2 linked regions of the Elephas maximus indicus genome follow. The protein of the gene in region 1 purifies or fractionates together with the protein of each later gene. This does not show direct contact. Links are inferred from orthologs where the notes say so. Each region holds a gene or a part of one and is shown on either strand. Other genes may lie near its edges.

Region 1 (7,327 bases):
GCCAAGAGGCCAAGGAACTAGGAATCAGAAGCTGAAGAGACAAGGCACGCAGAAAGCTAAGTTGCTTCAGTCTCAAAGGGTATGGCCTCGACCCCTGGGGCCTCAAAGGGTGGAGCCATGGCCTCTGGAGTTTCTAAGGATGAAGTCTTCACTCAGATGGGCTAGGAGAATGATGTGCTTAAAGCCAAGGGAACAGAGTTGCCATTCCAGTGGGTCTGAAAGTTGGAGCTAAAGCCCAGGGCCCAGGGGCCTCCACCCAGAATTTGGAGAACGTGGCCAACACCCAGAGTCTGGAAGGCATGGCCATTGTGTAAATGGTCTCAAAGAACAGAGGATTATTTTCAAGCCTGGAGGGCTAATACAATGTGTTCTGCTGACTTGCTTGGTGCCTGTTATGCCTTCTTTCCCTCCAATTTCTCCCATTTGTAATGGAAATGTCTAACTTGTGCCTAGTGTGCCATTGTGCTTTGGAAGCAGATAACTTGTATTCTAGATTTCACAGATGAAGAGGAATTTTTGAACGTTGGACTTGGAGTTGATTTAAGACTTGCTACAGGCTGAATGTGTTTTATATGTGGCAAGGACATGAATTTTTGAGGGCCAAAGGGTGGAATGGCATGGATTGAATTGTGTCCCCCGAAAATACGTGTATCAGTTTGGCTAGGCCATGATTCTCAGTCTTGTCTGATTGTCATCATTTTGTCATCTGTTGCGATTTTCCTGTGCTGTAAATCCTATCTCTATGATGTTAATGAGATGGGATTAGTGGCAGTTGTGTTGATGAGGCAGGACTCAATCTACAGGATAAGATTGTGTCTTAAGCCAATATCTTTTGAGATATAAAAGAGAGAAGTGAGCAGAGAGACATGGGGGACCTCATACCACCAAGAAAGAAGCACTGGGAGCATAGTGCATCTTTTGGACCTGGGGTTCCTGTGCTGAGCAGCTCCTTGACCAGGAGAAGATTTATGACAAGGGCCTTGCCCCAGAGCCAACGGAGAAAGAAAGCCTTCCCCTGGAGCTGGCACCCTGATTTCGGACTTTTAACCTCCTAAACTGTGAGAGAATAAATTTCTCTTTGGTAAAGCCTTCCACTTGTGGTATTTTTGTTATAGAAGCGCTAGATAACTAAGACAATTGTCTTGCTTCTGCACTAGTTTTTAAAAATTTTATTGGGCTTTAGGTGAAAATTTACAGTGCAAATTAGTTTCTCATTCAGAAACTTATACACAAATTGTTTTGTGACATCAGTTGCGATCCCTGCAATGTGTCAGCACTCTCCCCCTTTTCCTTTACACACCAGGGTCTCCATGTCCATTCGTCCAGGTTTCCTGCCCCTTCCTGCCTTCTCGCCTTTGCTTTTGGGCAGGTGTTGCCCGTTTGATCTCGTATACTTGATTGAACCAAGAAGCACATTCCTCATGGGTATTACTGTTTGTTTTATAGGCCTGTCTTATCCTTGGCTGAAAGTAGACTTCAGGAGGGGCTTCAGTTCTGAGTTAGCAGGGTATATGGTGGCCAGAGTCTCAGGGGTTCCTCCAGTCTCTGTCAGACCAGTAAGTCCGGTCTTTTTTTTTTTTTTTTTTCCTGTGAATTTGAATTTTGTTCTACACTTTTCTCCTTCTTTGTCCAGGACTCTCTATTGTGATCACTGTCAGAGCAGTGGGTGGTGGTAGACAGCACCATCTAGTTCTTGTGGGCTCAGGCTGGTGGAGGCTATGGCCCATGTGGTCCGTGAGTCCTTTGGACTAATATTTTCCTCCTGTCTTTGCTTTTCTTCATTCTCCTTTGCTCTAGACAGGATGGGACCTATAGTTGTATCTTAAAAGGCCGCTGGCAAGCTTTTAAGACACCAGATGCTACCCTCCAAAATAGGATGTAGAGCATTTTCCTTATGAACTATGTTATGCCAATTGACCTAAATGTCCCCCAGGATCATAGTCCCCAGCCCTCAGCAACTCGGTCCCTCAAGGTGTTTGGATGTATCTAGAAGCTTTTATGGCTTTGCCTTGTTCGAGTTGTGCTGACTTCCCCTATATTGTGTGTTGTCTTTCCCTTCACCAAAATTAACACTTGTTTACTATCTAGTTAGTGATTTCCCCTCTCCACTTACTCCCTCCCTTATAACCATCAAAGTGTTTTTTGGTCAATTGTCCACTTTATGGCCACTTGCAAACTTTTAAGACCCCAGGCACTATGCAATGAACTAGGAGATAGAACAGAAACACTAAATGTGTTATTAGACCGGTTAACTGGGATGCCCCGTGAAGCTATAACCCTAAACCTCCACACCAAGGAACCAAATCCCATGAGGTGTTGGGTTGTACATATGCAGGTCAGCAGCTACTCTTCACAATAGCCAAAAGGTGGAAACAACCTAAATGCCCATTAACAGATGAATGAATAAACAAAATATGGTATATGTATATGATTGAGTGGTACTCAGCCAGTAGGAGAAATAAAGTCTTAATACACGCTACAGTACGGATGGAACTTGAAGACATTATGCTGAGTAAAATAAACCAGTCACAAAAGGAAAATATTGTATGACCTCACTTATATATAAGGACAAGAAAATGTAAATGTATAGAGACCGCCCCCCAAAAAGGTCGTTTTTTATCTGTGTATAAACCTTTTCTTGAGTTTTTATAATAGTGGTCTCATACAATATTTGTCCTTTTGTGATTGACTCAGCATAATGCCTTCTAGATTCATCACGTTATGTTTTGAGGATTCATCATTGTTCTTTATTGTTGGGTACTGTTCCATTGTGTGTAGGTACCATAATTTGTTTATCCATTCATCTATTGATGGGCACTTAGGTTGTTTCCAACTTTTTGCTATTGTGAATAATACTACAATGAACATGGGTATGCACATGTGTATTTGTGTGATGGCTCTTATTTCTCTAGGATATATTCCTAGGAGTAGGATTGCTGGATCATATGGTATTTCTATTTATAGCTTTTTAAGGAGGCATCATATTGGTTTCCATAGTGGTTATAACATTTTATATTCCCACCAGCAATGCATAAGAGTTCTAATCTCCTTGCAACCTCTCCAACATTTTTTATATTTTGTTTTTTTAATTAGTATCAGTAATGTCAGGGTGAGATGGTATCTCACTGTAAATTTGATTTGTATTTCTTTGATGGCTAGTGATCTTGAGCATTTCCTGAAGTGTTGTGTTAGCCCCTGAATGTTTTCCTTGGTGAAGTGTCCACATCCTTCACCCATTTTTTAACTGGATTGTCTTTTTGTTGCAGTGTTGAAATATTTTATAGATGTTAGAGATTAGACCCTTGTCAGATTTGTGGCCAAAAATTTTTCCCAGTCCATAGGTTCTAGTTTTATTTATTTTGTTGTTGAAAAATATACATAGCAAAACATACACCAAATTCAAGTTTCTACATGTACTATTTAGTGACATTGGTTACATTTTTCAAGTTGTGCAGCTATTCTTACCCTTCTTTTCTGAGTTGTTCCTCCTCCTTTAACATAAACTTACGGCACCCTTAGCAAGGGCAGATTATCCAATTTTTTTTTAAGGTAAGCTTACCAGATCATCTGTCGTGAACAATTTCGCATGGGTTTTACCATATTGTGCTTACTTGTCTACTGGATAATACGCCCCTCCCCCTTAGGTTCCTATCTAATCCTTAGAGTTGCAGTTATCAGTTTGATCCCTTAACAGAGAACAATGCTCAAGGCAGACATTCTTTACTAATTTAGCTAAAATATTGTTTGGTTTTAATACTTCAGGGGTTATTTTTGATTTAAAGTTTAAAGATTATCTCAGGGCTATAGTTTCAGGGGTTCATCCAGCCTCCGTGGATCCGGAAAGTCTGGAGTCCATGAGAATTTAAAATTCTTTTCTGTATACATGACCCTGTTTTATTTTCTTCATAATAGCTACGACTGATTCAAACGTTCATATTCATTTGTTTAGTTGTTTAATGCCTCCCCATACTTGAATGCAAACACCTAGAGAAGAATATTTTTCAGAATTAATTGCTAAATCCCCAGTGCCTGGCATATAGTAGTTGCTCAATACACGTTTGTTGAATGAAGAAGGAGGGCTTGGTGTAAAGCCAACCTTTGGCAAATGCCCCTTTCACAGACTGGAAAACAGAAGAGCTGGGAGGCCGGTCGCTGGGGCTCCAGCCCAGCTAAGTCTTGGGCGCTGCTAGCCCTGCGGTCACGTGGGCCAGGGCCCTGCAAGAGGGGCTCCGGGTGGGGAGGGGCACGGAGGGGGCGGGGCCGCCCACCCGGAACTGGAGAGTCGCAGGGGCGGTAGTTTCCGGCCGCAGCGGACACTTCCGGAGGAGGCACTGTCCCGTGGCACCTGGCTGGGCGGAGGAAGACGCGGAGAAGCGCGAGCGCCCGCGATGGATAATCACGGACTGGAGGAGTTCCGCCGGCGCTGGCAGGAGGAGCTGGCGCAGGCCCAGGCGCTGAAGAAGCGGCGGCGGCCCGAGACTGCCGAGCGGCGGCCACGGCGGCCCGAGTTAGTTCCCGGGCGCGGCGAGCAGGCCTCGGGGTACCTGGCACTGGCCCAGGGCCTCCTGGAGGGCGCGGGGCGACCCCCGGCAGCGCGGGCCACCCAGGCTGAGAGGCAGGACGCGGCGAGTCGTTCTCGCTCCCCTCAGGGCCGCGAGGACACCGAGGGAGGGGACCAGCTGTTGGACCAGCTCATTCGCGACCTGGTGAGTGACCGTCGCCTCCTGCCGAGTCCTGGGCTGGTCCCGTCCCTGGGACAAATCCCGCAATGGGTTGGAAAGTAACTCTGTGTGTGTCATCAATTATAGGACAAAATGAGGAGGAGTACACAGACGTTTGTGCTTTTATAAAGTATACTGGAAACAGTGGTTCTCTACTGGGGGCTGTTTTGTTCAGCAGATTTGGCAGTGTCTGGACTTCGGGTAGCGCAGTGGTTAAGAGCTCGGCTGTTAACCGAAAGGTTGGCAGTTCGAATCCACCAGCCGCTTCATGGGAACCCTATGGGGCGGTTTTACTCTGTCTTACAGGGTCACAGTGAGTCGGAATCGACTGCAGTGGGTTTTTGGTTTGGTTTGGAGACATTTGTGGTGGTTACAACTGTTTGGCGGGGAGCAGGGGAGGAGATGGTGCTAAATATCCTACAATGCACAGGACAGCTCCCCAGGACAAAACATGATTAGGCCCAAAATGCAGTAGGCCTGAGGTTGAGAAACTGTGCTGAAGAATACCCAAACTATTAACAACTGTTGCCATTGGGAAGGAGACCAAGACAAGGATGGGAAGGAATGTTAACTTTTCTGGGTATACTGTTTGTGCTGTAGGGTCACTGTGAGTTGGAATTGACTTGAGGGCAACGGGTTTGGTTTATGGTTTTATATACATTAAAAAAAATTAAAGTGAAAAAAAATAAGAATCCCATGGACGCTATCATTAGGATAAGGGTTCTTACGTTTTAGAAGGACATGGATCCCTTGGAAAATCTGGAGGAAGCTAGAGACCCTTCTCCATGAAAAAAACCATATGCACAGGTTGGGAGGATCAAGATCAAGTGAAACACATGCATGGAATTCAGGTTAGGAGTCAGAACAAGACAGCAAGTTTTAGTAGGTTAACTTAAACCAGGCTTAAAGGAGGACTCGATGGCAAAGGGAAAGGGCATAGCTTCCCCAGCAAGCTAAACCCGCTGCTGTTGAGTTGATTCTGATTTGTAGTGATCCTATAGGACAGAGTAGAGCTGCCCCATTGGTTTTCCAACGCTGTAAATCTTCACCGAGGCAGACTGCTACATATTTCTTCTCCAGAGTGGCTGGTGGGTTCGAACTGGTGACCTTTCAATTAGCAGCTGAGTGCTTTTAACCATGGCGCCACCAGGGTGCCTCCTTATAAAGCAGTAATAATTTTTTTTTAAATTTTGGTGAAAATATACACACCAAAACATTCGTCAATATGACAAGTAATAACACTGAATTTACAATTCAGTGACATTGATTGCATTTTTCATGTTGTGCCACCATTTTCGCTATCTTTTTCCAAATATTTCATCACCGTTAACATAAACCCAGTTCTCCCCACAAAAAACTCCGTCTTTTTCCCTGCCTCTCATCCCTGTTCCCATTAATAATCTTTGGTGTCTATATGTTTGCTTGTTTTACATAAGTGAGACCATATGATATTTGTCTTTTTGTGGCTGACTTATTTCACTCAGCATCACGTTTTCAAGGTTCATCCATGCTGTGGCATGATCAGGCATTTATTTCTCTTTTTGGCTGTGTAATATTCCATTATATATATCTGTAGATGCCACATTTTGTTTTTCCATTTATGTCCATGATGTTGGACATTTTGGTTGTTTCACAATTTGCTTATTGTGAAAAATGCTGCAGAGAATGTTGGTGTACAGGTTCCTGTTTGTGTTCCAGCCTTCATGTCTTCTGGGTATGTCTTAAGACTGAAATTGCTGGGTCATATGATAGTTCTTTTTTTTTTTTTTTGAACATTTTATTGTGATTTGGTTGAAGGTTTACACAGCAGATTAGTTTCCCATGCAACAATTTACACACATTTTGTTTCATGACATTAGTTGCAATCGCGTCAACGTGACAGCACTCTACTCCCTTCCTCCCTGAGTTCTACGCTTCCATTTGCCCATCTTTCCTGCCCCTTTCTGTCTTCTGAACTTTGGTTTTGGGCAAATGCTGCCCTTTGATCTCATATAGTTGATTGTTCTGAGGAGCACATTCCTCGTGGGTGTTATTGTTTACTTTATAGGCCTATTGTTTGGCTGAAAGACTATCTCTGGGAGTTTGTTGTGTTCCAGGTTTGAAGGGTGTCTAAGAGCCATAGTCTTGGGGGTTACACCAGTCTCTATCAGAGCAGTAAGTCTGGTCTTTTTTATGAATTTGAATTTTTCTCCCACTCTGTCCAGGACCTTCTATTATGAGCCTGCTCAGAGCAGTTGATAGGGGTAGCCAGGCACCATCTACTTCTGATCTCAGGCTAGTGGAGGCTGTGGTTCAAGTGGTCTGTTAGTCCTTTGGACTAATTGTTGCCTTCACTCTTTGATTTTCTTTTCTTTGCTCCAGACAGGAAGAGACCAATAGCTGTATCTTAGATGGCCATTTGCAAGCTTTTAAGACCCCAGACATTATTTACTAAAGTAGGATATGGAACATCTTCTTTATGGATTAGATTATGCCGGTTGAGCTAGATCTCCCCCGAGTCAATGGTCTCAGCCCTCAAGCCCAGTGATGCAGTACTTGAAGGTGTTTAGTTATGGCTAAGAAGATTTCCTCCCAAGCATCTGTCAGTTTGTCATATCTTGGGGGCT
Region 2 (7,721 bases), on another chromosome or scaffold:
CTAACTGAAGTGTCAGAGGCTCCAATCCACGCAGAGACACCTCAGAAGAAAGGCCTGGCAATGTACTCTTGAAAAATCAGCCATTGGGAAGCCTATGGAGCACAGTTCTACTCTGACGCACACGGGGTCTCCAGGAATCAACTCAGTGGTAGCTGGGTTGCTACAGGCCAAGCCCTGTTCTAGGTACTGGAGATACATACAGTAGAGAACAAATGAGTTTGCATTCTAGCGTGTGGTGGGAGAGAGTCAGACACAAAAGTAAAGCAAAAATAAAGAAAATCATTTCTGACTGTGTTGTGCTAGGAAATAAAGTAGGAGAATAGGATGTAGGAGGGGGTCTTCACTTGGAGTGCCTGGACCTCTTGGGTCTGTGAATCTGAATGGGAAAAATAAAATCACGGCTTTATATTCACAGACCTTTGAGACAGACCATTGCCTTCCATTATGAACATAAGCAACGAGCCCCAGTAGGGTTAGAAGAGCCTGCAACTTTGTCACTGCTGGAAATCACAGCTGTCTTCGTGTGGCTCTTTTAGTTGCTGCGAAACCTCGAAGCACTTCCTCAAAACCTAGACTTGCTGCTAAATCTTTATGTGATGTGGTAATAACAAGCACCATTTCATGAATTTGTTATTTCTTGAATATTTTCATAACTGTAGGGAACAGTCTGTGCTTCAATGGGTCCGTGGCACTGAGAAGGTTAAGAATTCCTGGGATGGGAGGGTCACTCCTGTAAAATGGGAAGGATTCAGAAGGGCCTCTCAGAGAGGTGACCTTTGAGCAGAGGCCTGAATAAGGAGAGAGAGGTTGACAAGAGAAGGTCAGGGGACAGCAAGTACCAAGGCCCTGCAGCAGGAACAGACTGGTTGGGCTGGAATGGAGTGAGAGAGGGGAAGAGGGGAGGAGAGGAGGACAGAGAAGGAAGGAGTGTGAGGGATTTGTAGGGCTTTGTGGGCCATGGTGAGGACTTGGGTTCTATTCTGAGTGAAATGGAGGATTTTAAAAAGATAGAGACAGTGCCGAGTTATTTTTTGAAAGATCCCTCCAGCTGCAGACAAATGGAGAAAATATTGAAGTTGGCAAGGATTTCATTTTACCCGGCTCCACAATCAATGCCTATGGAAACAGCAGTCAAGAAATCAAACCACGTATTGCTCTAAGGTGCACCTGACCCACCAAAAAACCAAACCCACTGCCATCGAGTCGATTCTGACTCATAACAACCCCATAGGTTTTCCAAGGCTGTAAATCTCTATGGAAGCAGACTGCCACATCTTTCTCCCTTGGAACCTCTGGTGGTTTGAAACTGCTGGCCTTTCACTTAGCAGTTGATCACTTTAACCACTATGCCACCAAGGTGCCTGACCTAAGCCACGGTATTTTCAGTCACTTCATACGCATGCGAAAGCTGGGCAATGCATAAGGAAGACCAAAGAATTGACACCTTCCAATTACGGTGTTGATGAAGAATATTGAATATACCATGGACTGCCAGAATAGGAAACCCTGGTGGCGTAGTGCTTAAGAGCTACAGCTGCTAACCAAAGGGTCGGCAGTTCGAATCCACCAGGCGCTCCTTGGAAACTCTATGGGGCAGTTCTACCCTGTCCTATAGGGTCGCTATGAGTCGGAATTGACTCCATGGCACTGGGTCTGGCCAGAAGAATTAACCATGAGGTTGGCAGTTCCAATCCACCAGGAGCTCCTTGGAAATCCTACGGGGGAGTTCTACTCTGTCCTATAGGGTCACTGTGAGTCGGATTCGACTTAGCGGCAATGGGTTGGGTTGGTTGGTTGCCAGAAGAATGAACAAACCTGTCTCGGAAGAAGTACAGCCAGAATGCTTCTTAGAAGCAAGGATGGCAAGACTTCATCTCACGTACTTTGGACATGTTATCAGGAGGCACGAGTCCCTGGAGAGGAACATCATGCTTGGTAGAGGGTCAGTGAAAAAGACAAAGACCCTCGAGGGGACAGATTGATGCAGTGGCTACAACAACGGGCTCAAACATAGCAACAATTGTGAGGATGGTGCAGGACTGGGCAGTGTTTCATTCTGTTGTACGTAGGGTCGCTATGATTCGGAACGACTCCATGGCACCTAACAACAACCAGCTGCTGGAGAGTCCCTGAGTGGCGCAAACAGTTAAACACTCAACTACTAGCCAAAAAAGTTGGCGGTTTGAAACCACCCTGTCACCCCTCAGGGGACAGGCTGGGTGATCTTCCGAAAGGTCACAGCCTTGAAAACCCTATGGAGCAGTTAGTTCTATCCTGCACACATGGCGTAGCCATGAGTTGAAATCAACTAGTTGGCGACTAGCAACAACAACACTGCTGAATTGAGGGTGGATTGTAGGCAGCAAGGAGAAAGCTGGGAGGCAGTGAGGAGGCACTTGCAGGGATTCAACAAGAAAAAAGGGTAGCTAACATGCTTTTTTTTTTTTAACATGCGGTGACTCTTGGGTTAAACCACCCAGCACTTTAATTGGGGAGGAGGGATTCAGCTATGTCCTGACTCCTGACCCCTGTTTTCTATAGAGCCTGCCTGGGTCTATTACTCAAGTACCTAAGATCTGGTTCAAATATCAGGCCCTCCAGTTAGTTTCCCCATCAACCAGAAGATGCTAGTGAGGGCACCCACCTTGCTGTGTAGCTCTAAGGATTCACAATAGGTCCATTCAGCCCATTCATGATGCCTGGACCCAGGGAAATGCTCAATGCCAATGCAAGTTAACTGTTATTATCTTCCTAATGATGTTGTTGGGCTTTTGTTGCTGAGCCGGTAGCCTTTTTCTGACCCTAAGCCCCAGGGATCCTGACCCACTATGTCTGTGGTGAAGCCTGAGAACCTTCACTTTTATCTCATTTCTTTTAGTTAATATTCTTGGTTGCCAAAAATCCAAGCAATCCTAAAGGGTGTCGAGTGAAGGGTACATGCCTCTCCCACCTCAGGGGCTCCCAGGCCCTCTCCCCGGTAACAGCCACTTTAGGCTGTGCTCCCTGGTGGTGCAGTGGTTAAGTGCTACGGCTGCTAACTAAAAGGTCTGCAGTTCAAATTCACCAGCCCCTCGTTCGAAACCCTATGGGGGCAGTTCTACTGTCTTATAGGGTCCCTATGAGTCAGAATCGACTTGATGGCAATGGGTTTGGTTTTTTAGTTTTATACCTGTGACTAGCACAAGTGCATGTCTCGACTATTTGTTCTACACACACAGAGTCAGACTGTTTTGGGTTCAAATCTAGCCTCAGTCACTTCCTGTTTGTGTAACCTCAAAAAGGTGATTTTACTTCTTTGGGCCTCAGTTTCCTTAGCTGTAAAATGGGAATGATAATTGTATTACCTGTCTCGTTGTTACAGTGAGGATCTAATGAATTAATTCACAGAAAGCACTTAAAGTGGGATCTAAAAAACCAAACCAAACCCACTGCCATCGAGTCGATTCCGACTCACAGTGACCCTATAGGACAGAGTAGAACTGCCTCATAGGGTTTCCCAGGCTGTAAACCTTTATGCAAGCAGACTGCCACATCTTTCTCCCACAAAATGGTGCCTAGTATATAGTAAAGTAAAACTTGTAAAAGCTGGCACCTGGGTAAGGTGGAAACCTGTCAGAGAAGGAAAACCAGAGATAAAAAAAAAAACAAAACAGAAAAACAAGGCAGTCTCGTCAAGTTTCAGCTCTCATAGGTTTCACTGTATATAGTATGTAGGTCTCAAACACAGCAATGATTGTGAGGATGGAGTAGAACCTGGCACGGTTTCATTCCGTTATATATAAAGTCTATATGAGTCGGAACCAACTCAAAGGCACCTAACAACAATAGTATATAGGAAAAATGGTCCCTGGGTGGCACAAATGGTTTGTGCTGGACTGTTAACCTAAAGGTTGGTGGTTCAAACCCACCCAGAGGCAAGACAAGCCTGGAGGTCTGCTTCCAAAAGGCCACAGCCTTGAAAATCCTATGGAGCACAGTTCTACTCTGCACACATGGGTTTGCCATGAGTCAGAACCGACTCAATGATAACCAGCAATACCACCACCACCCATCTGTCAGTGGAGACTTGCATGTCGCTATGATGCTGATCAGGTTTAAGCATTCAGACTACAACGGACTAGGAAGAAAGGCCGGTCCATCTTCTTCTGAAAATCAGCCAACGAAAACCCTGCGGACCACAGCAGTCTGATCTGCAGTCCATCACGGGGATGGTGCAGACCAGGGAGCATTTCATTTGTGAATGAGGTCGCCACGAATCTGGCCCATTCTAGGGCAGCTAAACGACAACCACCAGTTTTTTTACCCACATGCATGAATGGGTATGGGGTAGGAATTGCTGGTACCACGAGTCGCGTGCATTTAAAATGTTAATACATAGCGTCAGTGACCTTCAAAAGGGCTGTCCCATTAGCACACCCACCTAGGGGGCTGAGGGTGGGGGACTTGGCCAGAACGGGTATATCTACGATGGCAGGTTTGGGAACTGGCTGCCATTCGGGAAAGGTGCTGACGTGGGCCTCCGCGCTCTTTTCACTTGGAGGCGGGTGGCCCCAACTAGGCCTGGGGCGCGGCCACACCCCTGTGGGGGAGGGGAGAGAGGCCTCCTTAAAGGGAGTGGACAGCCCCCCTGTCAGTCTTCCCGAGTCGGGGAGTGTAAACTGAGAAGGGAGAAGGTGGGCCTCACCCCGGGGAGCGCGAGGAGGAACTTCCTGCCTGTGCGCTCCACCGCACTGGGCGCGCGCCGCGTCAAGGTCAGTCTTGGAGGGGTGGCAGCCTGCCTGGGGGCGGGAGACCCTCCGGGGGGGCCGGGCCGCAGTCTCCCAGCGCCTCGGCCATATTGAATAGCCCCGGCTGAGCCGTCTTTGTCTGGGAAGCGGTCTCGCAAGTTCCAGCCGCCCCTTTGGTGCCTGGGGCAAGACGAACCACCGTGCACTCCAACTTGGAGCAGCTTTCCAGCTTTGCGCGGGCTTGAAGCCTCGGGACAGATTCCTCGCCAGCTCACGTAAGCGTCGTGGGACTTCATTTCCACCAGCCTTTTTTGGGGGGAGCAGACTTGGCCAAGGCCGGCCTGGTGGCAGACAAAGTGGGAGGAGGTGGCTCGTCCCTGGCTGGGGAGGTGAGACCTTCCGGGCAGCATTGTTGGGACTCCCCACCTAAGGCTACAGACTGCGTGACGTTGGGGTCCTTAGCCCCACATTCCGGATTTCACCCTGGAGATCTTAAAGACCCTCGAGAAAAGCCACGTGGGGGGCTGGTTCCCCTGGGGCTTCCTGCCGTCGCCGGACTGCCTAATCCTATGGAGCGTCCCCGACGTCTGCAAGGATGTGGACTTGGATGTCCTCGTGGAAGCCTTGAAGCCCGTGGGGACCTTTAAGAAGATCGGCAAGGTATTCCGCAGGGAGGAAGACTCTACGGTGGGGATGCTGCAGATTGGGGAGGATGTCGACTATCTGCTCATCCCCCGGGAGGTCCGGCTGGCGGGCGGTGTCTGGAGGGTCATCTCCAAGCCCGCCACCAAGGAGGCGGAATTTCGTGAGCGGCTGACCCAGTTCCTGGAGGAAGAGGGCCGCACCCTGGAGGATGTGGCCCGCATCATCGAGAAGAGCACCCCGCACCCGCCCCAGCCCCTCAAAAAGCCCAAGGAGCCCCGAGTGCGGAGGAGAATTCAGCAGATGGTGACGCCTCCGCCCCGTCTGGTCGTTGGCACGTATGACAGCAGCAACGCCAGTGACAGCGAATTCAGCGACTTTGAGACCTCCAGGGACAAGGGCGGCCACGGCTCGGGCCGGGCCCGGAGGGTTCGAAAAATGCCGGTCAGTTACCTGGGCAGCAAGTTCCTGGGAAGCGACCAGGAGAGCGGGGACGACGAGGAGCTGGTGGAGGCCTTCCTGCGGCGCGGGGAGAAGAAACCTAGCGCGGCCCCTGCCCGCCGCCGGGTGGCGCTGCCCGTGCCAGTGGCCGAGGACGACCCGCCCCAGCTCTCCAAGGCCGACAGGTGGCGCGAGTATGCCAGCCAGGTGTCCTGGGGGAAGCTGAAGCGCAGAGTGAAGAGCTGGGCGCCCAGGTCTTTGCCGGGCGTGGGCGATACCCAGCAGCCCGTGTCCAGGATGGAGAGTGACAGGGCGTCAGGGCCAGGCTGCGCCAGCCGGGGGGAGAACGCGGGAAACACAGGAGATGGGCGGCAAGCCGGGACCCTCCCACGACGGTGGCGGCCCAAGATCAGCTGGGGTTCGTTGAGGCGACGCCGGAGGGAGGAGGTAGCATCCATAGCTCAGGGGGCAGAGGTGCTGGGTGACCAGAGGATAGAGGTCCCAGTTGACCGGAGAGCAGAGGTCCCAGCTGACCAGGTGGCAGAGGCCATAGCTGACCAGAGGGTAGAGATCCCAGTTGGCCAGGGGGCAGAGGTCCCAGGTGACCAGGGGGCAGAGGTCCCAGGTGACCAGGGGGCAGAGGTCCCAGGTGACCAGGGGGCAGGGGTCCTGGGTGACCAGAGGGCAGAGGTTGAAGCTGACCAGGTGGCAGAGGCTGCAGCTGACCAGAGGGCAGAGGTCGCACCTGACCAGAGGGCAGAGGCCGCAGCTGACCAGGTGGCAGAGGTTGCAGCTGACCAGGTTGCAGAGGCTGCAGCTGACCAGGCGGCGGAGGCCCCAGATATCCAGGGGGCCCCAGGGGCAACCCCAGGAGCCAGAGCCCGGAAACAGGTCAAGACAGTGAGGTTCCAGACCCCTGGACGTTTTTCATGGTTTCGCAAGTCACGGAGAGCCTTCTGGCACACACCCAGGCTGCCAACCCTCCCCAAGAGAGTCCCCAGGGCAGGCGAGGCCAGGAGCCTCAGAATGCTGAGGGCCGAGGGCAGAGCAGAAGCGGAGCAGGGAGATCAAGAAGACCAGCTGTGAGGGCGAGGGCGGGGGCCCTGTGGAGCACCCCTTGCCACATTCTGCATTATCAGCCACTTGGGCATGTCCTTACCCCTCCCAGACCTGGACTGAGATGGTTTCACTCTCTGCTTCTGCACCTGAAAATCCAAGGGACAGAGAGAGAGGGGGCGAGACAACGCCTCCATATTTCCACCTGACAACCTTCTTCCTTTTTCTGTTAAAATTTTCTCTCTCGTGTATTAATTTTTTTATACCCACTCCTTATAGCAACTCAAGGAATGTAATGAGAAAAATCGATACAGCGGGGTTGCAGCCAGGTACTTTTAATTCCCTAGGTGCTCATTTTAAAAAGGGGAGCGAGACGGGGCAAAATTCATGGCTTCTCCCCTTTCGCTGGGTGATTGACATTTGCTGTCTCTTTGAACTTCAAAAGAGGGCTCAAGCTGACCTGCAAGTGAAAACATTAAAAAAAAAAAAACTTAGATTTTGGCTTTGGACTTGACAACTGAAGAATGCTCGAGGGCTATTTGGTCATGTGCCCTCACTGTCCCCCCCACTCCCATCCTCAATGGTAATGACCATGGTTACTTTGGTCCCCTGGGCTCTGCTGGTTTGAAGGGTGCAGGGCCCATGGTTTATGCCCTTCAACCTGTCCTTGGCTGTGAGGTTGGGGGCCATAAGTGTGCATACAAATCACCTGGGGAATGTGTTCAAAATGCACATTCCTGAACCCTTCACACCACAGATATGAATTTGCTAGTGTGGCCCAGGAATCTATTTTGATCCAGCTCTTATGGGCTTTACCCAGGGCAGCTCGCACACTTGCCATTCACTGGCCGTGTG

Evidence for each region. The genes of interacting proteins can lie anywhere in the genome.
Region 2: the proteins of FBXW8 (region 1) and CCDC8 purify together in Homo sapiens (affinity purification with mass spectrometry; 3 studies listed by BioGRID and IntAct, with this or other methods). This does not show direct contact. The link is inferred for Elephas maximus indicus from reciprocal best matches to the Homo sapiens genes FBXW8 and CCDC8.

The regions. Positions count from the first base shown.
Region 1 is NC_064840.1:14,593,057-14,600,383, forward strand, and holds the start of FBXW8 (F-box/WD repeat-containing protein 8), read left to right. Parts: upstream 1-4,316; 5' UTR 4,317-4,388; coding exon 4,389-4,706; intron 4,707-7,327. UniProt on the Homo sapiens protein: Substrate-recognition component of the Cul7-RING(FBXW8) ubiquitin ligase complex, which mediates the ubiquitination and subsequent proteasomal degradation of target proteins.
Region 2 is NC_064829.1:103,275,531-103,283,251, forward strand, and holds the start of CCDC8 (coiled-coil domain-containing protein 8), read left to right. Parts: upstream 1-4,712; 5' UTR 4,713-5,420; coding exon 5,421-6,896; 3' UTR 6,897-7,721. UniProt on the Homo sapiens protein: Core component of the 3M complex, a complex required to regulate microtubule dynamics and genome integrity. It is unclear how the 3M complex regulates microtubules, it could act by controlling the level of a microtubule stabilizer.